Linked DNA regions of Lonchura striata. Each later gene encodes a partner of the first gene's protein in a complex. Links are inferred from orthologs where the notes say so. Each region holds a gene or a part of one and is shown in the gene's direction. Other genes may lie near its edges. The genes, in order: MPP1 and GYPC.

Region 1 (15,289 bases):
AGGACTAACTTTTCTCCTTATTTTTCTCACACTTGTTTGGTGAGAAAATATAAAACCAAGGTAATTTGCACAGACCCAAAGTTTCTTCTTCTCTTTTTCTTTCTTAGTGGCCCACTCACACTTTGGCCTGAACCTCATCTCAAATAATTTCCCTGAGTTGTCATTTTTATAAGTACGGTGATAAGATACAGAAGTGCCAGGCATAAATATTCTTTTCCCCAATAATCCTTGTCCTGTGTGTTTCTTTTTCCACTGGTGCAACAATCCTTTTCCTCCCTTTCCCTGCAGCTGTTCTTTGGAAACGTGGATGCAAATGGCGTGAAAGAAAACCGGTTCAACCCCCCAGTGGTAGCCCGGTACATCCGCATCCACCCCACCCACTACAACATCCGAGCCACGCTGCGCATGGAGCTCCTGGGCTGCGACCTCAACAGTGCGTGCCACCCTCCCATCCCAGCCCAAAACTGGGCTCTGCTCTGCTGGGCTGCTGGGCGCCGGCTCCACGTGTGCCAGGACTCCCAGGCAGCTATGGAGGAGGAAGGAGGAAGGCACTGAGGTGTTGAGGGAACAAAGCCTGAAAGTCATTGTGGTCTTAGGGATAAAAGTACCAGAGGGAGAGCCTGGGGCCAGCTCTCACATGCTTTTTTACTAAAGCACAGAAAACTTCCAGAGGCAGCTCAGCTGATAGACAGAGAGCTGCTGGGTCTGGGGGAGCAGGAAGCAAGCAGAATGAGATGCTGTTGGCTTTTACACTGGTTTTGCCAGTAGTAGGTGAGATGGCTCTGATCAGCAGTGCCCCAGGGGAAATGGTGCCCTAGGATAATTTCTTTGGCTTTGCACACCTGCTCTGCAGCAGCTAAAAGCAGCACTGGCTGTGCTGTCAGCCCATGTCCCAAACCTGCCAACTGGCTCTGGAGCAGCTGTGCACAAGCACACCTGATCACACATGTGCAGGGTGTCTCCTTCCCAGGTATTCTTGTCCTCCCCCTGGGGACAGGTTCTCCTTATGTTTCCTCACACCAGAAATTCTTCACATTCCTCTTAGATAAAATCTCCAGGGAGAAAAGAAGGTGGGAGTAGTTTGGCCAGAGCCATGCTGCACACAGGGGCCTCAGGCAGTGCAGGGACCATGGCACTGCAGCAAGGCACAGAAGAACTTGTAAGCAGGGCAATGCAGCACAGCTGGAGCAGTGAGCAGGCAGAAAGCATCTCCATGATGGGTCTGTTCTAGCCCCTGACAAGCACTGCTCCTCTCTTCCAGGCTGCTCCATGCCCTTAGGAATGGAAAACAGAGGGATCCCTGATGAGCACATCTCTGCGTCCTCCTACAGTGCCAACGTCTTCTCCAGATGGACACCGGCCCTGGCCCGCCTGAACCTCCAGGGCAGGACCAACGCCTGGAGGCCAAAGGTAACCTGTGTGAGGAGATACCAGGCAGGCAGCTGGGATCCCAGCGGGGTGTCCTAGTCAGGGCTGTATGGGAGGTGTGCACAGCCACATGCACCATGCAAACTGCACACTCACTGCCACACCGATTTAGCGCCCACCAGCTCCAAGCAGATGTCTGGTAGGGCAGGTGAAGCAGAGGGAAGTGCAGGGCCAGCTTGGCTTCAGCTGCAATGAATGTGTCTTTCTCATTGCTGCTGGAGTGTTGAAGGCAGTCTATCCTTCCCCAGAGCAACAGCCCCAGAGAGTGGCTGCAGGTGGACTTTGAAGTAACCAAGAAGGTGACTGCAATTATAACCCAAGGTGCCAAAGCTCTCTTCACTCAGATGTTTGTGAAGGAGTTTGCTGTCTCCATCAGCCAGGATGGCATGCACTGGAGCCCAGTCCTGCAAAATGGCAAGGAGAAGGTAAGCAGAGCTGCTCCATGGCCAGAGCCCATGGCCACCCTCAGGGCAGCAAGCACAGCCCTTGGCAGCAAACATGCTCGCAGGATTTCTCTCCAAGAGCAATGAGCCAGGCTGTGCTTCTTCCTTTTTTAAAGCATGCCAAGGGGTGTTTGTCTGGGTTGATCCTGTCCTCACTATGCCAGCCAAGTGCATCCCTGGTTTCTGTCTCCTCTCCAGATTTTCAAGGCAAACCAGGACCATCAGAGCACAGTGAGGAATACCCTGGAGTCCCCTCTCTTTGCCCGCTATGTGAGGATACACCCCCGCCAGTGGCACAACCACATTGCCCTGCGGCTAGAGTTCCTTGGCTGCGACACTCAGCAGGAGTACTGATGGCTGCAGGGCCAGGAGGAGGCACTGCCAGCCCAAGGACACACATCCACCAGGCACTGAGCTCTCCCCAAGGCTGGAGCCATCCCTCCAGGGGCCTGGCTGCTCCTGCTGCTGGGGAAGAGAAGGGCTGGTCAGCTTCGCAGTGGCTGGGTCATTATCTGCCTTTTCCTGTGTCTACCAGATGCCATATACTCAGATGTAATGATGAAGAATTAAACAGTAATTTTCCAGTACCTCTCTGCACTTTCTCCTCTGCCTTGGTCTCCCCAGAGGCCCAGTCAACATTACCACCAGCTACAAATTAATTAGCCCCAGAGCTTCTCAGCCTCCTTTTGCACAAACTGCTGCTGTCCTGGGCACAGTCCTGGAGGAGGAAGAGCAAAGATAAGGATGAGGGGTGGAGGCCCTGCTCCAGGCCCCAGTGTCTGTTTCACAATCAGTGGGGATGGGAAGCTAGAGGGAGGCAGCTCTTGCTCAACCTGACTCAGCACTGGGATTTGGCCCTGCTCTTCCCTTTGTCTCCTTTCCACAGTGCTGCTGTGGATGGGTGCCATCACCCCACCTTTCTGTTGCTGCCTTGAGCAAGCCCTCCTTGTTCTCCACAGGAGTTCTGTGGATGCCTGTGGCTCCCAGGGACCCTGGAGGATGAGCTGCCACTGTGACATGACCCCCAGCAAAGTGTGCCATGGGCCAGAGCCATCTTCCTGACACCTGTGCTTTCCCCCTCCCTGGCACCTGCCCCACGCAGTGGCAGATGTCTCCCCTTCCAGAAATGATGATGAGCAGGGTGACACTGGCTCCTGCCTCATTCCTCTCGTGGGGTGGGGACCTTCCAGAACAATGTCCACCTCATGAGGGTGGGGAGCACCTGGAGGGCTGTGGGGAAGGCCTGGGGTCATCCTTGTTGGGCAGCACTTCTCCTTCAGCAGCTTGCCAGAGCCTGTGCCATGCCATCCCCACTGCAGTGAGTCCTCCATCTGTGATGGGGCAGCTCGGTGGCCCCACAAAGCCCCTGGCAGCTGGTGTAGCAGGGAAAACAGGGTTATGAGGGGGCTTTGGAGAATGGCAGGAGTCAGCTGGGTGCTGTCACAGTGGGATAGGCAGGATGGCTGCAGCAGTCCGGCAACATCCAGTGATTGCTGGTGAACTTCCAGGGTGCCCCATCAGTCAGACAGTCTCTGCTCACACCTCTCTGAGATGCGGCCTGCAGCAGGTCTGAGAACAGCTCTGCCAGCAGCACAGGGGACAGCTGTGGTGGGGACAGCAGGGTTGTGCCATGAGCAGGGTGCTTGTGTGAGGGATGGCTGCTCTGAGGCACCCAGTTCCTGCCTCCAGCAGCTGTACCGGGCTGTGTGGTGCACAGAGATCTCCCCTCTGTGGCCTGTGTCTGAAGGAAGCAGACATGTGCTGCAGACCACCCCAGTGGTGTGATCTGTCTGGGAACCCATGCCCAGGGGAGATCAGAAACTGGTGTTTCAAATAACAGCTTGAACGTTTGCCACGTTCCACTCTGCTATGCAGGGAGCCTTTGCTGTGGCCCTGGCAGTGATTACATTACAGCCCAAGCAGGAGATGCAATCACCCTTTGGCTCAATTGCATTCCGACAATAACCAGGCACAGAGGTGAGGAGAGGCTGCCTGGCAAGCACTGTCCTGAAGAGATGGATATGAACCATGAGCTTCTCAAAGGGAACACCCCTGCCTGAGGCCTGGGAGGACAAAACCTGCCACCTCAGGGCCTTCTCAAGGCATCCTTCCTCAGCTTCAAGGTAACTCCATCTCTCCTGTGCTTCAGCCCAGCTGAAGCATAAATACCCTTCAGGGTCTCTACCAGTGGATGCTCAGGCTCATTTTCCCTCCAGAAAGAGGCTGCCATGTTGTGGCACATTTGTCTGGTGACACAGGGTTAGCTCAGAGCAAAAGCTCTGTGCACCAGAGCCCATTCTGGCTTATTTTCAAAGAGGAAGCACAGCTGAAATCTTTGCAGGCATCCCAGCAGCCTTCATCCACCAGTCCCAAGCAGTTCCAGGATGTTCTCCAGCCATCCAGGCAGCAGGGAAGGGACTTTCTGAGCAAGAGCAGTAGTGGGCAGGCAGGCAGATGTGCCTGAGCCTGCCAAGTTCTGGCATCCATTATTGGAAGCATGTCTTGACATTTATCTTGTGAGGAATGGAGACCAGACGCTGTTTCCTCATAGCACGATGCAGATCTGAAATGCATCACATCCTCCCCCAGCCACAGACGTTTCTGTGCAGGGGAAGGTCTTGACCAGCATGAAGCTCTCTGCCTTTCAGCCAGGAGATTCCCTGCCTGCAAAGAGCCCTGCTGCAGCACGGGCTGCCTGGTTGAATCCTCCTGGACCCCAGGGATCTTTTGTCTTTCATGGCTCAGCTGCCAGGGTTGCTGGGCTGGGTGATCTGGTGCTCACAGAGTTTCTGGTGTCTCCTGGAAGAAAAAACACATCCTGGCTGTCTCTATTAACCCCAAGCAGAGATTAATTGGCAAACCAAAGTGTGTGTGGTTTCAGTGCTGAGCCCCAGCCAGATAAGCCATGGGCCAGGGAGGTTTCTGAATCTCCCTTCCCTCATGCTGGGTGGAGAGCTCTCAGTGTGCTCCCTCACCGGAGTCAGATGTGGGGAGTGTTTGCAGCTATTGCAGCTGTGCAGGTGGGCACCATTCTCTGAAAATTTGCCAGCACATAACAGAAACAGGCAGTATCAGGCTGAAGAGAGCACCTGAGCAGGGACCATGGCCAATGGGGAGCAAAGCAGAATTTGGGTAATCACAGCTTAAATGCAAGCTCAGCCAAGGAGCTATAGCCAAGCTGCTCACTACCTCCTCAATCTCAGTTTTCCCATATGCAACCAAGAGGGAATGAACAGACTTAGATATTTTTCTGTCTGTCAGGTGTCTCTTGTCACATTTTCCCCTCCTACTACACATTCCATGATTAACTTCAGGGCTTGTCTCTGTTCTCTGTATCTCTTGCCTCCTACTCCACATTTCTACCAGCCTGTTTCTAGCCCATGAGTGCAAGAGAAACCCTGCACTGAGGGGTCCTACGTCCAGCACATCTCAAAGCCATGCCCCACCAACCCCAGTGTGCATCCACCTCCCCCTCCTCCTTGCTGGCCGTTTCAGCTGCTAGGTAAGGAATGCTCTGCAGACCCTTCTTAGTCAGCTGGGCAGGGATTGAAGATGAGGCTCCCAGCAGCATTCTCCAGCCTGGTGGGCACATCTGCTGTGGCTGAAGGCAGCCAGGCACCCTTTGACTTTTCTAGTTCATTATTTTCTCATCCTAATCAGGCTGTCCAGGGAACCCTGCAGACAAAGTCTGGGCCACAGGTTCCACCAGGTGCAGCTACAAAACATGGCCCACTTAGCTGTCTTTCTTCTGGTCCTGGTATTGACTCCCTTAATCTCCTACTAACACTGCAGCCCTGCTATGCGCTTAGTACAGACAACTTGCTTAGCATCAGGAGCTAAATTTGATGAAGCCTTACACCACAAGTTGTGAATTTCCACCCAGATAGGCTGAACTTTTACCAAGTTAAGTAAGAGGGGGCCCCAGAGCTGGTTTGAGCTGGAAGATAAGGAAGCAGGGAAGGCTATTACCATCATTATGTCAGCTGACACAGAAGTCTTAGAGATAAGAGAAGGAACAACCCACCCAGAGACAGTGAGGGGACCCAATAAAGAACAGGAATACCCCAGATCCTAATATTACTAGTGGTCAGAACTGTCATGTGAGGGGTGGGGAACTTATATTGTAAGGATATAGTTGTCCAAGGATTTCTTCAATTGGGGTTCCTCTTTGGAGGTACCTAGCTCAAGCTGTTCTACATGTGAGATAAATAAACAACCCATTTACTCAGTGGATTGGCAACTTATCTTCTTCAAGCAGGCCCATGCCCTGTTGATGGTGGCATAAATCCTGGCAGATGGGATAATTCCTTCAACAAAGCCCAGGGTCCCAGATGGGCAGTGTGAGGCTGAGGATAGGGCAAGAAGGGGAGCTATATCTGGATGATGCAGGACTCCAGGCAGGTGATCCCACAAAAGTGCGCAACAGCTGCCATAGGAATGGGACTGCTGAGAAGAGCACTCCCAGTCCAGGCTGTGCTTTGGGACTCTTTGCTCCTGGTAGTGTTAGAGCAGTTTGCTGGAGCCAGTCACATCAGTGCCTGCAGCTCCCACACCTCCTTTTCTGCGCATCTCACAGCATTCTGGGCTTTCTTGTAGCCCAGTCAGGAACAGATTTTTTTCCCACGAGGCAGGAGAAAGTTGCTGTCAGAACAAGATGGATTTTCCTTCTTTCTCTGTGCCTCCCTCCACCCCATTTCTTCCACACCCCCCCCCCACCCCCATTTTCCTGTTTCCTTTCTCTAGAAGTTTGTATCCTTCTTTCTTCTCCTTGTATTTATTACGGTAACTTTAGACCAATTCACCCTGGAGAACTCATCTAGCAACAATGTGTGAGTCTGGTACAAGGCAACACCTAACCCTCCAGGATCCCAGGGATGGTGTGAAAAATCCTTTCTATGTTTTCTTAAAGAATAATACAGCAGAATTAACTTTCCATCCCCAAATAAAGCTCAGATGTCACTTGGACCCTCTCATCAGTAAGACCTACAGTAAGGGCAGAAATGGTTTGACAGAAGCCCTTTGTACCATGCATGGCTCACAAATTCAGGGATTTGCCATCCCACCCATGCAGGTTGAAGGAGGTGGAAGACCCAGAACAGCTCAAGAAGAGGACAGACCTTGCTAGAGTGTAGAGAAAGGTACTCTGGAGCTCTGCACACTGGCAGAAGCCAGGAATGACCATGCGTTTGTGAGAGCCAGTTACGCACGAAGGCCACTTTGGAGAGGTGCTCCCCATGTCCTTGCTGGGCCCTTGCCCAGAGTGTCCAAATGACAGAAATGAAGATGGTGAAGAGCCTTGAGAGGAAGCCTTGTAAGGAACAGTTGAGGTCACTTGGTCTGTCCAGCCTGGAGAAGAGACTGAGCACAGATCTCATCGCAGTTCCAGCTTGTTCATGGGAAGGGGCAGACCCTGATCCCTTCTCTGCGGTGACTCCCTAGTCACAGGACCCGAGGGAAGGCTGCAGTTGTGTCAGGGGAGGTTTAGTTGCAGATTCGGGTCAGGCTCTTCCCCCAGAGGGTGGCCGGGCACTGAAGAGCTCCCCGGGGCAGTGGTCACAGCAGCAGCCTGCCGGAGCTCACGGGGTGTCGGACAATGCTCTGGGGCACAGGGTGGGACGCTCGGGCTGCCCTGGGCAGGGCCCCGAGCTGGCCCCGGTGACCCTGGCGGTCCGTTTGGGGCAGCTCGGGTGCGCTCTGTGACCCGAGTGCTTGGGCACGGCCAGGGCCAGGCACGGGCGAGGGGCTGGCACAGCGCTGAGGCGATGGGGGCACTCCCGGGGAAAAGCCCCGCGCGGCGGCGGGGACACCCAGCGCGACCCTCCCAGCGCCGGCTGCCCCGGCCCGGCCGCTCCGCCCGCTGCCGCCGGGCGGCCCCGCCGAGCCCCGGGCCCGCCCCGGCCCGCCCCGCCGCCCGGCCCCGCCCGGCCCCGCCCGGCCCCGGCGCACTCGGGCGGAGCGAGCGGGGAGCCCGCGGCGCCGCCGCAGCCGGGCCGGGCCGCTCAGCGCTGCCGCGGCCAGCGGGGCCGGCCGCAGCTGCCGCCGGGATGACCCTCAAGTCGGGGCGCAGCTCCGGCGGCGGCAGCATGAGGACGGCGCTCTCCGACCTCTACCTGGAGCACCTCCTGCAGAACCGGCCCAAGCCCGAGGTGAGCGGCCCGGTGCGCCCCCACACCCCGCACTGCGCCCCGCTCCCGGCCCCGCAGGGAGCCCCGGCTGCCACGCTGTCCTGCGGGCCCTCAGCCCGGCACTGCGGCCGGCTCAGGCCCGGCGCGGGTGCCCGGCGGTGCCGCTCCATCCCGCCCGCCCGCACACGCAGGGGGGAGCAGGGCCCCCCAGGCAGAGACCCCGCGCTGCGCATCCAGGTGCGTGCCCGGGCCCCAGCAGCCCGGGAGCGGGGATGCTCGTGGGGACGCGGGTGCCTCCGGGGAATGCTCAGCCAGCGTAGCCGGCAGGGCACAAGGAGCTGGGTGCAGGGAGCAAGGCTCCAGCATCCTGCCGCGGAGAGATTGTGCTTGTTTTGCTGCAAAGTTGTAGCTGGTCTGAACTGGAACTGCCGGTCACATGAGCTGATTCAGCTGCTGAGCAACCTCCAGGTCCACGGCACGGGCTGGAGGAGGGTGGGGGTCTCTTCCCCGGGAAGGAGAATGCCAGCAGCCCTTCTCACGCCTGCTCCGGGACAGGGAGTCAGCCGGTGGCCGCATGCGCCCCACCTCCAGCAGAAGGAGAGCAGGCTGCACCAGCCCTCCGTTCTGCTGGGTGGGCGCCTTCCTCACTTAGTGTTGTTTGGAGTGGCTTGGGTGCAACCAGGAGAAGGTCGGCAGTTGCCAGTGTTAAACAGCTGGTGCTTTTCTCCCGTCAGAGATTTCCAGCTTTGAAAAGGCATCCTTGGTGACGCCATGGTAAAATGTGGCTGGGCTAAGTTTTCCTTGCAACTGTGGGGAGCCTCTGAGAGAGAGAAGGGAGGAAATTTCCCTGAAGCGCTGTCCTTAGCCCATCGTGTTGGACATTTAAATATGTAAAAGAGGCTTGTCAGATCTGTCTCACACCACTGGCTCACCTGTTTTTCATGGTTTAACCCTGACAGGGTGCTTTGAGAAAAACAGTAGGAAAAAAATAATTTAAGCAAAGTGTCTGAATCAGGCAACTGCTGAAAGGAGCTCTCCCATCCCTCTGCCTCCCAGATCCAGGCAGAGGGCCTGCCTGGCTGCAAACAGAGCAAGGATCAATTGCCAGTAGCAGCAGAGCATGGAAAGTGTAGGAGCTGCCCTACAGCTTCCTAGTGCTATGGTGACTTTATTTCAGTAGGGATAAAGAGAGAGATGGTGAAGTGAGATCTGCATGAGGCCTTTTAAAAGGAGCTCTGTAAGGCTGCCTTCCAGCAGTGTCCTGAGCTTGCCAGTCACAGATGCCTGTCTCTGTGTCACGGGCATGCAGAGATGGTGCTGGCCCACAGTGGCTGTGGCCCCTCCATGGGCCGCCAGGACATCGCCCAGCAGCAATGTCCCTTCTTGGGAAGGGTGCTGGGTCTGCCTGACTGCTCCTGGTCTGGAGTCAAACAGGGTGACTGGGAGGTTTCTCTTCTGCATTTTCTCTGGCAGAGCCATGTACTGGGAAATGCTGTCCTGTGTTCCTCAAGTGGTGACGGGGCATGCAAATCATGGCAAGTGGAAGCCATGTTATTGCTGGAAAACAACCCCAGGCCTCTCCTCTTGAACCTCACCATGTGCATGCATATCTTTGCCATATCTCCTGGCTGACAAGTACAGATTTACCAAAAAGGTGTGGGCTTTACTTCCAGCTGTGCACATGGTTGGCAGGATGACCTTGGGCTTGTCCCTTTATCATCTGTGACTCAGTTCCCCAGCTGTAAAATGGGCAGCGAATGTGACCTTTGGGAGTTTGGTGGAGGAGAGGAGGATAATTCTGGGGAGAGCTGATCCTGAGGGTGCAGAGGGAGCACTGCACTTGCTTCTGGCGGTATTTCTCGGCATCCAACTGGCAGCAGCTCCAAAGCAGACTGAGGCCACAGTCCCCAGGGATCAAAACCTGAATCAACCCCAGGTAAAACTCAGTTGAAAGCTGAGCTAAAGCTTCTGGCTTTGACTAATGAAGTGGGGAGGGCTGGTTCCAACGTTTTAATCTCAAATGTATTTTGCTGTGTAGCTGTTTCACTGCTACAGGGAAAAAGCTGTTTTGAATGGCTTGTTCTGGAGGCTGGGATGGAGTGGCAGGGCAGCTCCTCCTTCTGTCAGTGTTGTGGTTTCACTGGCTGTGCCTTGGAGGTTACCAGCTTCACAAGCACATCTGGAAGGCTGCATCAGCCTTTTCTGGTGGGAAGGTGGTGCCTCAGCAAAAGTGAATGTGCTCCCTTGAAAATCTGGCCCATCTCCTTTGCAGCACTCTCTGATCTGGAGTCAGTGTGAGAGCATACATTGCCGGCAGCACCTTCTGGCTGCCACCATTTTGTATCCTTCCTATTTCTCTTTTCCCCTTCCCACAGAGACCTGTTGGTGTTACTGGGCCTTTTCCTGGTGTCAGCAATGTAATCCTCTTTGGTTTAAATGTTTGTTGGTTTGATTCTTGTTTTTATACTTCAATCAAATTGCTAGAAGTCATTTTAGGTGGGATTGTTCCTATGGCTTGAGAAGTCAGTAGGCCCTGGCAGAATGAATTACTTCTAAATATCTATGTGGCTCTAGCGCCCCAGCCTGCTGGGCAGCCTTAAAGCAGCTCCCAAGCTCAGTTTTTTGCTACTTTGCTTTTTTTACACATTGCTGTATTTTTAAAGCTGTATGAGACTGAAATGGATCCTGGATGGGGAGGGAGGCAAGGCTGGAAACACTGGAGGGTGGGAGGAGATGTTTATTGCTGGGTCAGAACACCTCTGCACCAAGCAGTGCCCCAACCTCCCTGCCCGCATCCATGGCAAAATGGCAATTATAATGTGAGGGGGTCATGATTCATGGAGGGAGCTGGGATTTTGTTCCTCACAGTGTGGGAAGAGCATGTCTTCCTGCCAGCCAAGAGGGCAATCCCAGAGCAACCTGGCTCCAGGGTTCCTTCTTGCATCCAAGCTGCTGTACTTTGGGGGATGGCTTGGCAAAACCAGCAGTTCTTTTCTCCACACACTCGCCAGGCAACTGTTTTTCCAAAGTTACCTGATACTGAAGTGTCTTGCTTAGAGCAGCAAGGAGAGCCCAGGAACCAAATCTCTGAATGTGCCCTTTGCACTGTAGTGCTGCTTTCCTCAAGTGCTGCTTCAGCCTCCTGCAAACAAGCTGCCCAGTTAATGTTTGATTTGCCCATGCCTTGCAGCCTGGTGGAGCAGCAGCAGCAGCAACTGTGGCAGACAGTGCTGACCCCGCCAGGGGACAGGATGCCAAGTCCTGGAATCCTCGCCACATTCCCTGTTGGTAAACACTGCCCAAGGAACTGGGTATACTTCCCTCTGCCCCAGGATACAGGGCAGAAATCTGGGCCCTTGAGGAAAATGCAGACAAGGGGTTGTGGGGCACCTCTGACCCATGGAGCTGGTGGCTCTTGTGTGCATTGCCAGTAGAGCAGGATTTCTGCAGGAGGATTTGCACCCCTGTCAGCCAGCTGCAAGGCACACAGGGCTGCTGGGTTCTGGGCTGTCCAGCACCCCTGCTGCATAGCTCAGCCCACCAACCTCCTTGCCCCATGTGTGCCCCAGCACAGCCCTGGCGGTGACCGAGCCCGGGGCTGTGCACAGCTGGCGGTGGCTGGTGGCCACAGGCTGGCTCTCAGCAGCACTCACAGATGTTTCCTGTGGAGCAGTGCACGAGGAGCAGTCTGGCCAGTCACCGGCGTGACTCAAAGGCTCTTGAGGTCACAGACTAGGCTGGGCCAAGCCACCGTGAGCGTGGCAGCTGCCAGGGGAGTGCAAGGCAATCCAGCCAGCCAGCTCGTGGGCATGGGGCATGAGAGCCACGCACGTCTCCTGTTCCTGGGTGCCAACATCAGGGCTGAATCTGCCACCCCGAGGGTCCTGGCTGTCCTCATGAACCAGGCATTTTCCCATCCCCATCCACTGGATGGCCGGTGCCATCAGCAAAAAAGCCCACACCATCCCAGTATGGCTCTGGTTTTGGAGAACCCTTCTGCATTCAGAGCTGCCATCAAGTGACCGGTGGCCATCTGCAGGCACAGCAGCCAGTCTCTGGTGACAGACCTTGTTCTCCAGAGTCACTAGAGTGACACTGGTGCTGTGTCAGCATTGACAGCTGGGTGTTTTCTCCAGCTCTCAGCAAAAAGCAAAGGTCAGGGCCAGGAGGCTCAGCTGATGGGGATGGTGAGGATGGGAACTCCCAGTCCCTGGAGCAGACTGTGCTGTGTCCTGGGTCATCAGGCTCTGCTGAGCCTAGAGGTTTGAAGCCAGGAACTGCATGGTCTAACACTTTCCCAAGGCATGACCAAGATAAGTATGATCTGTGCTGGCTCCAGCCACCACACTTTGGCCTCAGGTCGGGCTGGAGAAGGTCCTTGTCCTCCTATTCCTTCTTGCACCTGCTGGTTTGGCAGATGGCACAGCTGACAGAGAGCTGTGGGACAGCTCTAGGCACGCACACTGCTGGATCTGTTCCTCTGCACTGCAAATGGTGTGGTAGCATCGTGGGCTGGCAAGCCAGGCTTGGGGGGATGGATACAAGTTGTTCTTCCTTCCACCCTGCAAGTCTGTGGCCTGGGTGCTTTTCTGGTGCTATTCAGCCTTCTTCTCCGTGTTTAAGCTGTCGGCAGCTGGAACCCACGTGGTCTCCTTTTGAGGAGGAGTTTGGTTGGCACTTCTGGACGTAGTTGGCTTAAAAATAAATCACCGCATCTTGGGCACACAGCTCCCTGAGCCCTTCTCTCCCTGGTCCAGCCCCACAGTGCCCTTTCTGTGGGCTGTGACAGTGACCCTGCCTGCTCTGTCCCTCTCTGCCAGCACCTTTCCTGCTATCCTTGTTAGTCCTGACTCTGCTGCCCCTTTCTTTGGCTCCCTCCCTGCTTTCTGCCATTGCACAGAGCTGGATGACTGTCTCAGCCAGCAGCATTCCAGAACATCCCTACCAAAGCTCATGTAATTGTGGTTAGTGCCATGGCTACAGCCCAGTAGCAGGTGCTCTTCACAAGCCTTCCCCTGGCCTGACCAGATCTGCCTCCCCACCTGGCAGTGTGGGGCTGCAGCTTCTCTGCTCCAGGTCAGGAGTCTAGGGTGAGTGAGAGCAAGCTGGGGCAGGGGCATCAGGCTGATACTTCCCAGCTCCTGGCATGGAGCCTCTGGCCCTGGTGCTCAGTTGACAGGGCAGCCTGTGGTGGGGAGAGGTGTTGGCTCTGCCTGTCTGGGCATGGCCACGTCACGGATGCGGGACTGAAGCTGGTGAGGACCTTGCTGGGTATCCCTGCTTGGCTGTGGCTCTCTGCTCAGGCACTGCTGGGAGGGAAGGGTGCAGGCTGCAAACTGGGCAGCAAAGCCACGAGTCTGGTGTGGAGTGGGACAGCCAGGAGGGTTTGTTTTGCATCGTGGGGTGACGTGGGAATTTGTGTCAGCAGGACAGGCACAGACTGCAGGTTGAAGCTGGTTCTGGGTTTTGCTGGGCCAGCACTGATTTGGAAGAGGCTTGAGAAAAGTCCATTGCAGTTGGGGACAAACAAGCACATTTGTGAGCTGTGTAGAGACATTGCCCCGTGTGTCTGAGGGATTTAACAGGACCATGTCAGGCTTTCTTGGGCTGTGAGGGAGAAGCTCACCAAGCAGGATGGATTTGGAGGTCTTTGTATGGGACCCAAAGCACTCTTTGTCAGCCCTGGTGCCAGCACTTGCTGGAAACCAAGAACAGAGGTTTTCTCAGCACTGAGAGCCTGTACTTTGCTTCCCAGTGTGAGCCAGCATGAAAGGATCTGGGAAGGGGAATGGAATGTTTCTGGCTGGCTTGGGAGCACTGCCTTCAGTGCCTGGGTGTTGGCACTGCACCATGTCAGTTGCCCACTGATGTAGGTCAGGAAAGGTTGAAGTTGCAAAATGAGCCAGAGCAAAGCCTGTCTCCACTTCTCAGAGGTGAGTCTCAAACTGTTCTGTTCACTTAGTGAAGAAGTCCTGGGCTTTATGCTCTGTAACAAGCTACCTGTGAGCCAAGTGCTGCTGTGACACATAAGGAGTGTTTGTGACTCTTCGCTTCAGAAGAGCAAAGAGTCTTTTGGCTTCTTCTACCTGTAGCTTTTCCAAATTTTTCCTACCTCTTGTGTTTCCCAAGCTGGAATACTACAGATCCACATCCACATCTCCAAGGCTGAGGTTCTTCTCCTTTTCTTTTCCTGCCCTTAGTGTCTTCTCCTCCCCTGTGCTCCACCTGCCGCCGCAGGCACCTTAATCCGTCTGAGTAGCTGAGCCGCGGAGCGGGGATCCAGCAGTGCCAGGCGGAGCCCCTAAACCGCGGTGTCTGTTTTGCCCCGACAGGCCATGACTCAGTCCCCAAACGCCATGACTGAGGACATTTATACCAACGGCTCCGCGCCCCTGGGCAGCCCCTCGCACAGCAGCAGCCGCGAGGTGCGCAAGATCCGCCTTGTCCAGTTCGAGAAGGTCACCGAGGAGCCCATGGTGAGAGCTTGCAAGGCCCCAGAGCTGGATGGCACCCGGGGGGTGGAGGGGCAGCTTCAGCTGTGCCAGCAGGCCGGCCTCGAGGGAAACAGGTCACTGGAGATCTCGGCCATGGGAAGAAGGTGCTGGACTCTGCCTTCTGCCCGGGGACCCGAAGCGAGCCCCACAAAGGGTGGTGATGCTTGTGCCGAGAGGAGCTGCAGCAGCCTGAGTTGGCCGAGCAGGGTCTTCCCCCGCAGCCACTGCACAGCCCACTGTGGCCATGGGCCTGGAGAGGACTTTGTGAAGGCAGGAGAGCTCTCCCCTGCAGCGAGCAGTCATGGATTTTCCTGTCTTCCAGGGGATCACGCTGAAGCAAAATGACAAGCAGAGCTGCATGGTGGCCAGGATCTTCCATGGGGGCATGATTCACAGACAAGGTAACAAGGCCTTTGGAGAAGAAGCGGTGCATGAGGTGCACATCTGCAGGTGGTTTCTTTCCATGCAGCAGTAATGCAGGTCCTCAGCACTGCTGGCTTTCCCCTGTGACATGGACATCTGTGCCTGTTCCTCCCCACTCACCGGTCTCTCTGCATGGTTGTCATGTTAAAACACTGGAGGCTTTAGGGATAAAAAAAGGGTTGGGGGAAGGGCTCTCCCAAAAAGGAGCTGGAGATCATCTGTCTCTGTCTCGTGATGGGGTCACTGTAAGAAGAGATGGATCCTACCCTAGAGACGGTGGGAGAAGCTCTTCCCATTCCTAAAGTGCACAGGTGGGACAGGTATCCTGTAGATTAGCTCTGCAGATCAAAAAAAGGTGCCAAAAGAATTAAATAGG
Region 2 (15,635 bases), on another chromosome or scaffold:
GAAAGTTTCTTCAATAGACTGCTTCATCGTAGAGTCTAATTAGGAAATTTATTTTGAGTGATGCTGTAGAGGAAGAGTCCATATATGAATATTTATAGGAAGCCTTTGGTAATCACAAAAATCTTTCAGCTTGCTTTTAACTTGTATCAAAACCTAATCATGTGCTTAAAGTTTAGAGGAAACCTCATGTTTTCTTAAATCCTGGAAGCCATAAGGGCATTCTTCAATCCTTCTCCAATAAAAGTTTGACATCCCAGAGAGGAACCAGCAGTGTAGCACTGTGCTACACAGAATTACTCCAGCTCTTATTTCAGTGTTTGAAAAAACTGACAAGATCCAGGCATCCTGAAGATTTCTGAACTAAGTATTTTCTCAAGGCTTCCTGATATAAACCAATTCAATTCCTGAACTCTCCCTGTAACATTTTTTTCAGCCTGACTTCACAAGAGAGAATTCATATTTATCTACCTCATAGAGAAAAGATATGTTTAGATTATTCAGATATTTTCCCTGTAGTTATGTTTATTGTTCTGAAATATAACTTCCTGGGCAGCTCTTTGATTTAATAAGGAAGAAAACTATTTCCAAATAAAGCACTGCATATTTCATAGTGAAGTATATATATTTATCTCAGTTGAGTTTGCTTGTAGCTCATTTCAAGAAAGGAATAATTTCTATACATTGTCTTTCAGCATCTCATCTTTCCCTTGCAGTTTAATGCTTACCATGCCTAACAGGAGCACAAGGACAATAAAAAGTCGATCTGCATGAGTGTTGCTGAATTGACAGCTGAAATCTTCAACCACATTTGTACATGTCATGTAAATAAGGCTTGAGGAAGTGAAAGGCATTGTACCCAGAAGGAAACCATTTTACCCATTTGGACTCTGCATTAAACAAAAACAAAACTCATTGTGCAATTTTGCCAGCAAAAGCATTCGTTGTGTGTCCCAGTGCCCGAGTGGCTGAGCTGCTGCAGTTGGGCTTGTTGCCATCCCAGCATGTGCAGTTTGAGATTTTTTTAGTGTTGTTCTGTTTCTTGCAGCTGTATATTCTCCTGCTGAAGAACTTCAAAAATCTTGAACTAGTGCCAATCAGATACAGCTGAATTGCCTTTACTGTAGTAAGAAAAATTATCAGCATGCAATTTATTATTAGAACAGACCATTCTAAATTTTTACTTCCATCACAGCAGACAGCTATATCCATTTTTGTATAAGAACTCACTCAGCACAAATAAAAGGAACAGTAGATTATCTGGCTTTAAAACCATATCCTATTTTCAGCTGGGCTCACTGGAAAGTGGGCCTCAAGCATAGCCATGCCCAGGGCATTTAGTTGCACTTGGAGAGCTCTTTCTCTCCCACACCCTGTACAGAACCAATAAAACAAACTTCTTATCAGTGACTTAGGAACCTCACTTCAGTGAGATTAATATTTTATTATTTGAGAGAACTACAACCACCCATTTAGCAGGGGGAAGCAGAAAATAAAAAGTTATATCTACTGTAGCTGTAAGTTTACCCCGGGGTTCTGTGGATCCTATACCAATGGTGTTTTAGGTGTTGTTTAAAGTAAGATTTAAAAGACAACAAAACAAACAAAAATCAGCCACCACCAAAACAAAAAACCCAAACAAAAAACCTCCAAAACCAACCAAACAAACAAAAAAACACTAAAAACAAATGAACAATAAAAAGGCAAACCAACACTACCAACATAAAAGTATTGATGCTCTGCATGCAGGATATGATAACCACTTGCCACTTTGGGAATTATCTCCAAGAGCCTAAGGATTTGCAAGTGTTACAGTCAGGAAAGAGAGGAGAACACACCCTGAGGGACCTTGGGAGGACTAAGGTCTGTTCTAATCTCTTGTAAACCCTTTCTTTCCCCCCACAGTGCCAAGTTATTTATGGGATTCTAATGAATTCCATTAGTATTGCTAACTGTATCTTCTAGTTATTTAACTAATCACTTAACAAGGGAAGCAACCTAAGTCAGTAAACATAAACATCCTCATGATAGTAATTAAAGTAATAGAATTAAAGAAAAATTATTGAAGTTTAAGGTTCTTTTAAAATAAAACCAACTCAAGTCACATTATTTATGAGAAAAATGAAGTGCAACCCTCCCTTCAGCTAATAATTGTGCAGAGTTATTTTTAAAGCAGTGATAGGAGCAGTGCTAAGCAACAGGGTCTTGGGGTCATCACACACATCCTTATGGAGCCTTAGTTTCATTCAGTGTAACTGTGACTTTACCACATGCCAGCATTGTGCTCAGACAGGAGGTTGAAACACTAAACTTCACTGAAGTATCTCTGAAGAGAAGCACAAGATTTTTGCTCTTGCACTTAGAGAAGAAAGTAATCTTAAAGTGATGCCTTTTTCTCTGGAGAGAATAGTACATACAGGCTAAAAGAGCAAATGCCTCAGTTATTATATTTTAGAAAATATCATCAGCCAATCCGGCTGAGTCTGTTTGGCTAAAAGTTGCTGCAAGGGGGGAAGCAGACTCAGGAATGGATTTTAAGCACACACTTATCTAACACCTTTGTTGGATGTAACCCAGTTACTGCTTTGGCCAAAGCATTTGCACTGTGATTAGAAAGATTTCTGCTTTGGATGTATCACCTCTGTGCTTCATACATCCAAGCTAGAAAAGGGGAGAGGAGAGTCTGAAGCCCTTGCTAAAGTACAGGAGATCCAATCTCCCAGAGAGCTCAGAAACAAGCCCATTATTACATTACATAAGGACAGGCCAGATGCTGTACTAGCAACCTTTGAGAGGATTTTCACCTGCATGTAAATAGACATGAAAACAAAATTTAACGCTTAGGTAATAAGACACAACAGGGTCCACAATCATCAGAATTCTTGACGTTCAATTTTCTGGCCACTTCAGAGTTATCACAGAGTATACTGAGTTGGAAGGATCATCTAGACCAATCCCTGACCTGCCCAGCACCATTCCCAAGAGTCACACCAAGTGCCCGAGAGCATTGTCCAACCACTTCCTGAACTCTGTCAGGCTTGGTGCTGTGGCCACTTCCTAGGGAGCCTCTTCCAGTGCGCAGCTATGCTCTGGGTCAAAAACCTTTCTCTAATATCCAACCTAAACCTCCCCTGACATAACTTCAAGCCATTCCCTTGGTTTCTGTCACTGGTAACCACAGAGGGATCAGTACCTTCCCCTCCTCTTCCCCTCACCAGGAAGTTGTAACTGCGGTGAGGTCTCCCTGCATTCTCCTCTTCTCCAGGCTGAACAGACCAAGTGACCTCGGCCACTCCTCGCTCAGCTTCCCCTCAAAGCTCTTCACCATCTTGGCTGCCCTCCTTTGGACACTCTCTAATATGCAACAACTAAACAACCCAACTTATTAAAATTATGGTGCAGTAATACAGTCCCATCTATGTAAAGAAGAGTAAAAGTTTTCAGTCAAACTGAAGATCAAACTCGTCAAACTAGATCCTCCAGGAATTAAGATTTGCAGTGTTTAATTCTACTTTGTGTGAGCAAATCTTCCCTTTTGTTTTAAATTGCAGAATGATTCACTTTATTTATCATTCTATTCTTTTGTTATGAGAAATCCATGTGCTAAAGCCTGCTCTGATTTCTTAACTCAGCAAGAGCTGATAGTATGATTCACCCTCTCCACATCTACCCAGATGACATTACCAAATACGTTCCAAATATTCACTATCAAACTGCATGTCAACATCCTGTTGACTGGTCTAGAGTGTGAGCAGATGTGCTTTCCAGTGGTGTTGGAAATTATATTGGAGAGGAGGCAGTGGCTTTAAGACATCCTGTCTGATCTTTGGACATGATGATACTATAGAGTTACAGAGACTCTGCACCACTGAACTCTTGACCTTACACATCTTCCTTCTATGGTATCATTAAATGAACCACAGTTCATGGAAAGCCAAGCACCAGAATCAAGGAAGATGTAGAGCCTCCTTATACTTCAATTTCACAGAGAGTAGGCATGTTTTGAGAAGCATTTGCATTGTAGTGACACTAAAGTTTCCCCTGAGTACAGACACAAATGGAAAAGAGTTTGACCCAAGCAAACTAACAGATTAAGTGGGAACCTTAAACACAAACAGGCATACTACATCCTTTATCTGCAAATAATTGTGCAATAAGATAAAGCAGGGGATATACATGTTCCAGGGATAAGAATATATTCCAAAGGTTCAAGCAGAAGTCAGGGGAGTGGTAAAAATAAAGACAAATGCCTGGGATGCAAAGTAGGAAGGAGAGCTGATCTCTTATCTCCAGGGTAAAATCTTCTTTTCTGGCCTTGTATGAGGGTCAAGAACTAGTTCAGTGTTATGAATGCAGACAGAAAATTCCCTCTCTGTGTTCCAAGGATTTCACAATCTTGTTGCACTTAAAGTCACAGGCTGCAGAGGCACCACATAAAACATGAGTTATACCATCATCACAGTCCATCCTGGATAATAAGTCTCCATTGATCCCTTTTGCATCACAAAGGTTTAATTCTCCATGACTTTACACCAGAGCTGAGATGATCCACACAGTCTATGGCAAAATTCCTTGCTCTTTCAGCACAAAAATAAATGGGAAAGAGAAAGAAAACAAGGTGGGGGGAGAACCCAACACACAAGGTAACAAATAAATGAACTATTTTTCCTTACAGAGATGGAGATAAAGATAATCCATCGAAAATAGTATTTCATGGGATGTCCAGAGCCAAATGCTTTCCTATGAAGAACCCTCCTTCAGGATTCAGCCTAGCAGTTAAATCTCTGCTTGTGCTTGACCTGCACAAAGTCTTCAAAATTTGGGATTCCGCCCAACCTCACCCTGCTCAGCAGCTTGGCAGGGTGTTTAAGGCAGCCTGAAGTGTGTAGCCAGCAAAGGAGAGGAGGAAGCCAAGACCATGTCTCCTGCCAGCTGGCCAGGTGACCATGGCATGTAGCCCAGTGGCACACTGAGCCCCTGGCTCATCTGAATGTGCCCACAGTGCTGCCACAATGCCCATCTTGAACTCACAGCCAGGCACAACTGCTGCTACATCCTCTCCTCAAATGTGTAGAGGATGGATCCAAACACCTTCTCTTGAAGCTTGCAGGCTGGGCAGGGTGGGCAGTGAAGGACATGATTGATATCTTTCCACTCAGCCCCTTTCAATCTTGCCATTGCCTTTACAGGATGAGATTCCAGATTATGCATTATGTTTTGCCATGAAAATCCATCAGAGAGAGGGATTTCTAGTGTGATGTCCTGTTGTTGCGAAGCATAACTTCCTGGAGAGAGCCTCCTTCCTTTGTTTTATTTATTTATTTTCCTCTGAGTGCAGCCTAAACCCTCCCTTCCTGTTGGGAACAACAGCTGCAGCATGCGGCATCAGCTTGCCAAGCCTGAATGACTGTGAAATATCATTTATCTTGGAGAAAGATAGCATCAAAGAGAACAACTATGTGGGCCTGACCATGCATTCACTACATAGCTGGGCTTAGGAGGAGTAGGATAAATTGCAGTATCGGAGGCAAAAGAGGTCCCACTCCTGAGCTAACACCCTTGGACCTGAAAGCACTGTCACATCTGAAAGCACTACTGAAGAAAAAAAAAAAGGGAATTTTCATTTCCTTATTCAGAAAAAGATTATTTCAAAGGCTGGATATGCAAAAGTATTCACTGGGGCAGGAAAGCTATACGTCTGTAGGTTAATGGGAACAGCATGGCCTTGAGATCAAGTAATTGGCTGATGGAAGCCACAGGGCTGACACAGATTTCCTAACATACCTGTGTTTTCCCACAGACCTAGTGAATCCAATCCTTAGATAAAAAATTATTGTCAGATACCCTTCTGTTATCTCCTCCCTTTAACCCTTTTGGGGAGCTTTTGTGGTTTTTTTGCCAGAAGCAACTGCTATTTAAGATTAGGAGAGAGTTCACTCAAATAGGAAATTAATGATTAATCACACATTTTCCCCACCAGCACTCTACTCCCATCTTTTGCTCTGGGTTCCTTTGCTGCCTCCTGTCCCACATGATAAGTTGGCTGAGAGCACTGAGATGCTTTTTGTTCAGTGCCCAGTCTCAGACTCCCCTGGAAGCATGCTGGGCTGCATGCTGCTTCCCTTGACAACATCACATATTTCCCATTAGTGATGGGTGGAAAGGTCAGGCAGGTCTCTTTAATGGCCTGTTTGAGAGCAAATAGCCTTGGGAAATGGCTCTCTGATTTCTGGGAACCCCAGTCTATTCAATAAGCAAAGAAAGAAGTCCCCAAAAAAGTGACGAGAACAACACATTAAAGGGAACTTTCTCATGTGAGTTTGGACCTGCCAGAATCCTCCTACATAACTTGGGTATAAGTCTTCCAGTGATTTTGGTGGTGGGGAGGGCAGCTTTAATAAGAACACAGAGAGAGACAGGAAGTGTTGCACAGATGCAGAGGGGTTAAGCACCAGGACCTAACTGTGCATGCCATTTTGAGTAGTGTGCCACAAAATTTCTAAGACAGTCCAGGCCACTGGCTGTAACATAATAAAGCCATCACAACTACAATCCTTCACATCACCTGCAAGCAGCTAGGGAACCTTTTCTCAATAGAACTTCTGAAATTTCTTAGACATCACAGAATCATAGAATCATACAATGGTTTGGGTTAGATCATCTAGTTACAACCCTCCTGGCATCTTACACTAAATCAGGTTGCTCCAAGGCCACCCAACTTGTCCTTGATCATGATGATGAAAGATTTAAATGTAAAAACTTCACATGACAACAGTTCTAGAAACCCCTTATTTTACCTCTGCACATTGTGTTTCTTACACAGAAGAAGCAGTAATTAAAAACATGCCCATCAGTATTTTCATAGAGAAGCTATCAAGTGTAAATGAATGTCACGCTGTGGAGCTGAAGCCAGTGCAGCAACGTCAGGAGTTTTTGCTATTATTCCTCTGTCTTTGTTTTATGCCTTGCTTGGCTCTATCACTAAATGTTCCAGAGCTCTCTACCACAAGCCCAGAGTGTGGAAATGCTGACTGAAGTAATTTACTGCATCTATGTTCACAAACAAGCTGTTAGTTGCTGTTGGCATGTAAATAAGTCACTGTTCTTTCCATCCTATAGCTGTTAAATAAATACTGTGAGCCAAGTTCAGGGCACTGATTTCTTGTAGGTGGTCACTGAGATGATTTCACAGAAATATCCTGTGACAATTTTGCAAAACAGGATGGCCTCAGCCTGAATTTCATTACTCTGTTTTTTTCCACTTCCATCCGATGGTGACTATGTTTCTGCTGTCACAGGCAGGCTGTTAATTCATCCTGACTCCATAACAGACACCAGGAAAATGGAAATTTTGTCCACTCTCCTTAGTGTTTAAGGCATGTGCATTAAAAATAATCTGTATTCTGGCATAACCTAGAAGTCCTAGTCCATGTCAGCTACAGACAGGCTGTGTATGCACACTTACAGTGACTACAAGCCACTGACTGCAGCACAGCATGCAGACAGCCAGATAGCTTTAAATGGTAGCTATATAAACAAGGCAGCTGGCACCCTAGTCCAGGCTGAAAAACTTTCAGTGGAGTAGGCAAATTAACCTCTGCAGCCCAATAAAATACATCTTATTTACAAATAACACCTGCCTGTACATTAAAACAAAAATACCAAGACTAGGGAGAAAGCAGGTGTCTCATCTTTATTCTACCAATGGCAAACTGGAGCAGAGATTAAATATTTTCCAAAGGTGCCATAGGAAGCCTGTGTCAGTAACTGGAGTTACTTGTGCCTCAGCCTGTGCTGTAGCCACAGGTTTCTCCTTGCTCTGAGCACAGTGTAGATTCATGGCATATGCTGATGTAACTACTTTGACCCAATAAATGCCATCCTCAGTTTTCACTTGTTAAAAGGACAGAAACAGTCAGACTGTGTGGGTTAAGGGGGACGATGAGCAATGCAAATTGAAAGTCCTACTTTCAATCTTACTCACTAATAGTAGACATTTTAGGAAAGGGAGTCAGCAGCAAGTTTTACACTTAAAAGTAATAACATCAACAGCAGTGGATAAGGGTTTGGGAAGTGGATTTAATAGGTGTGTCTAGATTTGGCTAAGAATGAAGAGAGCATTTTCTTTCCACTGGTTGCTGGCTAATAAAAGCAAAGGGGTGGAATACATCCAACTTGCAAAACTCGAATACAGTTACTGCTATCTGCAAATGGGTGCCCCTCCCCGCTCATGTGAGCTGCACAGGCAAAAGAGAATGACACATGTGCTGTTTCCTTTTCCAGTTGTGGAGGGGTCAGGAGCCAGGCAAGGAGAGCCCGAACAAGAGGAGCATTTTCCTGGGTTCCTCCAGCTGTTCTGTTCAATCCCGCCGTCAGTTTTGAGCAGGGAAGAGAGGCTGTCACCACAAATAAGGCATTTTTCAAAGGCGTAAATTATGAGTTCCCAAAACAATGCGACATCTCAACCACGTGAGTACCCTTACCCCCCTCCCCCCTTACAATAAGAGTGGATTTATCAGTCCGCTGCTTAAGGAGCAGATTGTCTAATGCAGTTAGTATGGAAAAAAAAAAAAAAGAAAAAAAAAGCCTGAGATTAATTCTGAAGGAAAAAAGTTGTGAAGAAGCTGTTTTCTTCCTTAATTCTTTGTGTGTGTGCGTGCGCGTGTGCGAGGGGAGAACTGAAACGGGCTCTGCAAACTCTGGCTCCTGAACAGCACCAAGCAAAGCTAGTAACGTTTCCGCCTAAACCCCAGCTTAGAAAAGTTTCATTTGAATGTTTTTCCCTCCCCCCACTTCAGGAATGAAGTTATAGAGCATTTTGAAAGCGTACTGACGCTTTTCTAAGACAGTAATGGTGCTGCCCAGCTTGCGTTTAGAGTCTCAAGCTGTCTGTGTGTAACGTGAGACTCAAGCCACAAACTGACGGTCTATATTTAAAGCCACAATGTGTTTCTGCTCCTGAAAATTTAGAAACATGGGCTTAAAGACAAACAAATTGGTTCTTCAGCAAGAGAGGGTACAGGAAGGCAAGTCCTCTGTTTCCATAACTGCATATTTCAGTAAATTTTAAAAGAGAGAATTTGGCCCGAACAGTCAAGCGAGCACAGAGGCTCAGCTGCACTATGGTAATGTTCATTTTGGGACAGTATTAAAAAGAAAAGTGAAGGAAAGAGTGTGGGTTATGATTTGCTAAGCTGTGAAAAACTCTTGAGTTTTTGGTGCTGCAATATATATATTTTTTTTTTTTCTTATGGCTTTAGTGTGATCTTTCTTGTTTTAATTCAAGAAAGTACATTTGTTGTATTTTTAATAAATTAACTGCCAATAGCAGAATTGTTTGTCAGACCATGGTGTCAAAAATGAAGGTAGAAAGTACAGACAGCCCTGCTGGGAGCAGCCCGCAATTCAGGATTTGATCCAGATACTGCTATAAGGATATTTGTTCTGTATGGCTGTAGACACTGACAAAGTTTTCCAAACTTTGAATGAGGCACGCTGATCCAGAGAGAAGACACAGCAAGCAGAATCTGTGGCATCCCAACCAGCAATTTCTAGTTACCCTTTAGTCCATTTTGCAGATTCTAACCAACAAAAAAGATTAGATGTTACCTTTATATTATATTCTACTCCATTCTGCAGTTTAGAATATTGTATTTTGTTTTCTGTTATAGCCAGGAAAGATACAGGCAGGCTAATTCAGCATTCTGAGATCTTGGGTTTGGCACAGATTGTGTAAATTACTGCTATTGCTGCTTTCCAAGCATGTCCAGGAGGGTGGTCATGATTCACTGAGGTTCTTCTTGTGTATTGTGAAATATCAACAAGGGTCCAGACTCAGTCTTGTGCATTTAGTGACAAGCTTGGCCAAGTGACACATCCAGGACCAGCTCTACAGTTCTGAATACATTACAAACAACCTCTCTGGCAGACCCAGGTTGTCAAACCACACCGAAGGCCCTAGGGGGAAACAGGAAGAGGAGTTCATGTCCCATGGGGCCTTTTGTCTCCTCATAATGAAAAAAGACAGATGCATCAGCTTCTGCTGGGTTTTTTTCCAGTATGTGGACAGGAATTCTCAACTTGAACTATTTTAAGATCATAAGATTCTCTCCATGAAAACAAATTGCTTTCAATCCAGCTAGGAGTATTCTGGCTGAAAAATAGTAATGATGTATTGTCTTTGGTTGGGGATTTTGGTTTTGTTTTGTTGTTTTGGGTTTTTTTGTTTTGTTTTTTTAATTAGATGGATAAAATTTATAGATTAGGAACAAAAGTTAAAGGGAAGTCTAATGATACCATATTTCTGTATAATGTAAGTTTGGTGCATTGATAATGGTTGAGGTTTTAAGGGAAGGTCTTTGGGAAAAGGGCCTTATTTCCTATGAAAATTCCTGCTATTTTTGTAAGAAACAAGACAAGAAACAATTGAAAGTTCAGTGTATTGACAGGCACTATGCAGCATGGACAGCAGATGTTTGCCAGAGTGGTAGAATAATTGGGAAAACAAATTTGCTTCATAGCCACACAGAACATCTTTGAGATGGGTGTGAAAATGCTCAAAATAATCATCAAAAACCTTTTGATATGTATACCGAACATATGAATTCTTTGCTGAATACCTGCAGGTGAGACCACAGAGCAGCTGCCAACTGATGTAAACTGAACAGTGTTAAGTAACCTAATTGCACATGTACTTTGCTTATCTCCTTGTATTCACCGATGGCTGATAAGGAATTTTTATTCATTCTATAAATGCGGTATGATCCTGTCAATCCAAGGACGGGGGAGCACACACTGTTTCAGATTTTAAATATTCAACTCTGTGAAGTCTGTAAATGTATTCTACCTCTATATGGGGATGCTCCACCATCTCACCTTGGATATTTCCCATGTCCAGCTCAGATATCCCCCAGATATCTGAATGGGATCTCTGTACACGTAACAGGTGAGTGGGACACTAACTCTGTGATGCATTTGCTTCCTGCTCAGATGAACGAGCGTGACTTAACCATGAAACCTGAGGAACTCCACAGGTTTGGCAGTCTCAATTCAGCTGGCAGCTTTTGCCCTCTTCCTGTTAGACTGCAGTGACCCTGTCTTGAGGCAGTGGGACAGCTCAAACGAGGTGAAGGATTAGGACAATAAACGTCACCAAGTCAAAGGTTCAACCTGGGAAGGCAGTGATCTGTGCAAAGCCATCTTTTTGGGTCAAAGGTGTTCACCCCTTTGGAGAAGGTGCTCGGCAATTTACAGGATTTCATCTGTACCAGCAGGCTGGGAATGTTTGTGTGGAGTCTCTTATATTTCAAATGACATCTGTCAGAGGAGGTAGTGGTTAAGGAGAACAGTTTGTGGAGGCTTTTCTTCCTTATCACCCATCAACAGATAAGATCCTCTTCCTGGGGAGATAGCAAAGCAGTATGATGTGTGCAGTGCAGAAGAATTGGCCCAAAAGGAAACCCAGAAGCAAGGCTGGTCCTCAGGCCATGCCCCAGCTGCAGAGGAAGGATAGAGGGTGAGGAAGAGGGTGAAGCAAACCCTTCCTGAACTGTATGCACTCCCTCTGCATTGCCAGCTGCCCTCCAGCAGTAACCCAGGCACTGCCCTGCTCAGGAGAGCAGAGTCTGGTGCTCTGTTTTACAAGCAAGAGGTCTTGGCTCCATCAGCCCCAGCTTCTCCACCTGCCCCAGTGACAGAGCTTCTGTCAAAATGAGTCACATATGTGTGGGCTGTCCTCTCAGAGAGGCTGAGACCTTGCAAATGTGATAAAGGCAGAGTGACTTCTGGCTGTGAATGGGGAGTGTGGTTCTGAGAACAGCCTTTCCACATCTTCAGCTCATAATGAGATATATTTTGGGGCTGCAAACTGATTCTTTTGTATGTTCTGGAGCAATACCACTTGTCTTTCACACAGGGTTTGTGAAAAGCCTTGAATGAACCCTTTAGGTTTTTAATTGTGTTATTCACACCTTGGCAATATATGTGATTTCATTGCCCTTAATCAACAGAAGTGCTTGCCTGTGACAGTAAATGATAAACAAAAACAGAAGCTATTGATTATGAAAATTTGGTCTTCATGAGTGAGCATTTATACACAAGGAAACCTACAGATTATAAGAACCTCTCATTTTTAGCACAGAAATCTCAAAACCTATCCTACAAGTATTTATGTAAATTGAATGTTTCTGCTTGCATGTTTGTTTCCTACCACTGTGCATACGAATTGGGAAGTTTGGCTTTATATCCCAGGGCTCTCCTCACACCCTTACTGTCTGACACATTTATGTGAAAGTCTAGGAATTGAAAGACTCAGAATGCACCTGAAATTGCAGTAATTAACAGCAGATATGTTGGCAAACCACTGAGCTGGGGAGAATAGGGAGGATGTCGACTCAAATAGGATCTTCTGTTTTAAAATACACAATTTTCAGCATTGCTGAGCATCATTTAAAAAATACACATTAGATGTTAAAGATTCAGGTTGTGGCTAGTTGTGTGCTTAAGCCTGTTAATATTATAGCATTATGCAGTGTCTGCATCTCATTGCTGATACTGCTGCACCTTTATTTCTAGGCTCTTGTGTAATATACCCTGTATCCATCACTGTTCAAATGACTGAGTCCAATCAGCAAAGTCTTTTGTCAAACAGGCTTTCAGGACTGCATTGTCTAATGAAAATCTGTTTGTGTGTGTGCTCTGTGCAGTGCCTGTCTCTATTGTTGGGGAGGGATCAGTATTCCTATAGCATAGAGAAATTCAAGCCAAGAGAGGGATCTGATTTTGCTAGGTGCTGTACAGTCACCTCTTCTTCAAAAGGCTGGTAAAGAGGAGAGATTACAGGTGGGAGAGAAATCACTGCTCTCCATGGACACTGCTAGTGAGGCAGCTTTTATCTGGGAAAAGCTGGGGTGGTAGGAGTTTGTTTGATTCCAGTAGATTCACTGGTGCAACAGCTCTTTGCTTCCCACTGCCTAATTTTATAATGCATGCTCAGGGAAAAACACATAGCTCAGAAGTTATTTAGGAATTGGCCTGCTTGTTTCCCATAGAAAGATCAGAAAACCTTTGAAAACAGCATTTGACATGAGTAGGAGCTTTGTTTACAATTTTTTGCTTCACATACAATTTGTGATAGAAAATGCATGAAAAGCCTAGATGCCACAGTGACAAGAATATAGGAACACCTTAGGAGGGCAAGTGTTCGGGCAGCAGACAATTGTGTTTTACTTCCTTAATTTTCTAAGTCAGATGAATTTGACAGCATTACCGCAGTAATGATCAGATGAAAAATTCACCAGCTGCTAAGCATTCTGAAAAACTGCTTAGAGAATGGAGAAAAGTATCACTTGGAGAAATCAGGGTTTGTTTGCCAATAATTTATGAACATGAATGGAGGAAAGGCCTCCCCTCCCTGGATAATTTATTTGTAACTGATAACTGCATCAAGTACCAACACTGCTATGCTATAACAGACATGCAGCTCATAATTTGACACTGAAATAAGATCTGGACTCCTCTCTTTCTCGAAGAGTCAGCACAATCTAATTCACACCAGATTCCTGTCTCTGCTATGTTAGCTTGGAAATCAAATGCACTGCCTGTGGTAAACTGATCCTTTATTGCAGATGTACCTTGCACGTGTAGTTTCACCAATGAGACAGCTGGCCAAGTGATTTTCCTCTTAATTAATCATCTCATATGCAAAGGACGCCAGTTTCTCATATCTTCTTCTCTTCTGACATATGTTTCACCACAGGGTTCTTCCTGATGAAGCAGAATACTTCACTAAAAATCTCAATGGGTTAAACTTGTTCTGCTGCATTGGAGTTTTAAAGTGATTTTTCTTTCCTTTCCTCTGCCTCTCTTTTTCATCTTAAGAGGGAAGAAAGAATTCAGTTATTTCGTGAGGGTCTCTACCTCTTTTTTCTGCAGATAAGCTCTGAAACAGAGTTAAGCTTTTTATCAGTAAGTTGCAGGGGGGCATTTGAACACACCCTGAGACAGTTCTTTGTTATTTTGAGTGATAAATGCCTATTTTACTGGGGACTACATGTTTAAAATATCTAGTTTTATGAGGCAGTCCACACCATAGAGGACATGTGTGACAAGTTCACAGCCATACAGAAACAGACATCAAATCCTTACATATGTGTAGGTGTTTACAGTTGTGAGCAGATCCTCTTTCAGTAACACCAAACCTAGAAAACGAGTTTGAATTCTGTCTGTTCACACATATATACACACAGAGTGTAAGTACATACAACATACCTTATATCCGTATGCATACATACACAAAGACATGAGGATTTATACCCACCATCCTTTCCACTACTTTACAGGTTTATATTCCTTTTCTAGCTCATCTGTGCTGGGAGAATTTGGTAGTTGCATCTTCAGGACAATTTTCTAGAAAAACTGATCATATTAGTGTATTCATGCCAAAATTAAAGTTATTCTTCAAAAAAACTACCCTCCTTTGAAAACAAAATACTTATTCAAAAATCAATTCAATCCTGTTACATAATTCTGTGACCCTCTCAAACAGCTGAGAAGATTAATTTATGCTGGAAGAGATTTTACAGCACTGCTATTCCAGTTTAACCTTTTTTTGGTAGGCAAACATCTCTGGTGTTCATCTTGTTTTCTTTGAAAAGCATTCTTACTAAGACAAAAGTAAAATGCTTCTTGTCTGCTAATTGGATGTTCCAAAAATTTCAGTCACTTAAGAAGGGATGAAAAAGCAGGTCTTCATGGATGACTTAAGATAAACGAAATAATCCTCAGGTAAGACAAATAGACAACTTAAATACAAGTGATTAAAGAGTTACCTGTATGAATGAGTAGAGAGAAAACATATTTCTAGTGGATGGTGAAGAGTTACCATAAAAATGTAGTCATCCAAGAGTTCAGGAAACTTGTGTACATTTTCAAAACCTGATGTTTAAAATGACATGCTGTTTTTTTATATTTCTGTCTTCTAGAACATATTGTTGAAATCTGCTTGCCGGATTTTCTTAGCATGTATTAGGGCTAGAAGTTTATCAGTTTATTATTAAATATTCTAGTCTTTTATTTCCTGAAACTTATAACCAGCACTCATGAGCTAACTGAGGTTGCTCTTTTAACTGCCAATGGTTCATGCAAGTGTAATGAGCACTTTCCCAGTCCCATCCAACAAAGCAATCAGGAAATTAAATCCTTGATACATCTGTGACCTCTCTCACACCTGCTCTCTCATATTGTCTAGTTCAGATATCCTCTGCACCTAATCCTACCTGTCTGTCCCTTTCTTAGCCCACCAGTAAATGGTCATCTCTGAACATTCGAGACACACACAGGTCCCAGCTGTTAAATGCAATTTCCCTCCTTCTCTCAAGGACCTTCCAAAGTCCTGACAGTGGGAAGGAAGAAAAGAACAGGTCAGGAAGACATAGATCTTTCCCTGTCACCATCTGGGCTGAGGCTTTGTTTTCTTTGGGAGTTGCCCTCTCTTCCACTCTCCCTCTTCTCTACTGATCTCTCTTTGCTCTCTCATCTTCACAGATTGCTATGAAACAACACCTCCCCTCTGCAGATCTTTGCTGTTATCACAGAGCAATTTTTATTTATAACTGGGACATGCTTTTTACATTCTGAAT

What was found.
Region 2: the proteins of MPP1 (region 1) and GYPC are in contact, whole or in part, in an NMR structure (PDB 2EJY), measured with the Homo sapiens proteins. The link is inferred for Lonchura striata from reciprocal best matches to the Homo sapiens genes MPP1 and GYPC. Residues at the interface, in NP_002427.1 of Homo sapiens: Pro81, Met82, Gly83, Ile84, Leu86, Lys87, Leu88, Leu100, Val130, Gln134; in NP_002092.1 of Homo sapiens: Arg123, Lys124, Glu125, Tyr126, Ile128.

What each region holds. Positions count from the first base shown.
Region 1 is NC_134616.1:18,808,554-18,823,842, reverse strand, and holds the start of MPP1 (55 kDa erythrocyte membrane protein), read left to right. Parts: upstream 1-7,846; 5' UTR 7,847-7,915; coding exon 7,916-8,017; intron 8,018-14,328; coding exon 14,329-14,472; intron 14,473-14,812; coding exon 14,813-14,891; intron 14,892-15,289. Other genes in the region: F8 (coagulation factor VIII), read left to right, coding at 289-433, 1,262-1,410, 1,677-1,853, 2,070-2,225. UniProt on the Homo sapiens protein: Essential regulator of neutrophil polarity. Regulates neutrophil polarization by regulating AKT1 phosphorylation through a mechanism that is independent of PIK3CG activity.
Region 2 is NC_134610.1:13,964,016-13,979,650, forward strand, and holds the start of GYPC (glycophorin-C), read left to right. Parts: upstream 1-8,246; 5' UTR 8,247-8,432; coding exon 8,433-8,466; intron 8,467-15,635. UniProt on the Homo sapiens protein: This protein is a minor sialoglycoprotein in human erythrocyte membranes. The blood group Gerbich antigens and receptors for Plasmodium falciparum merozoites are most likely located within the extracellular domain.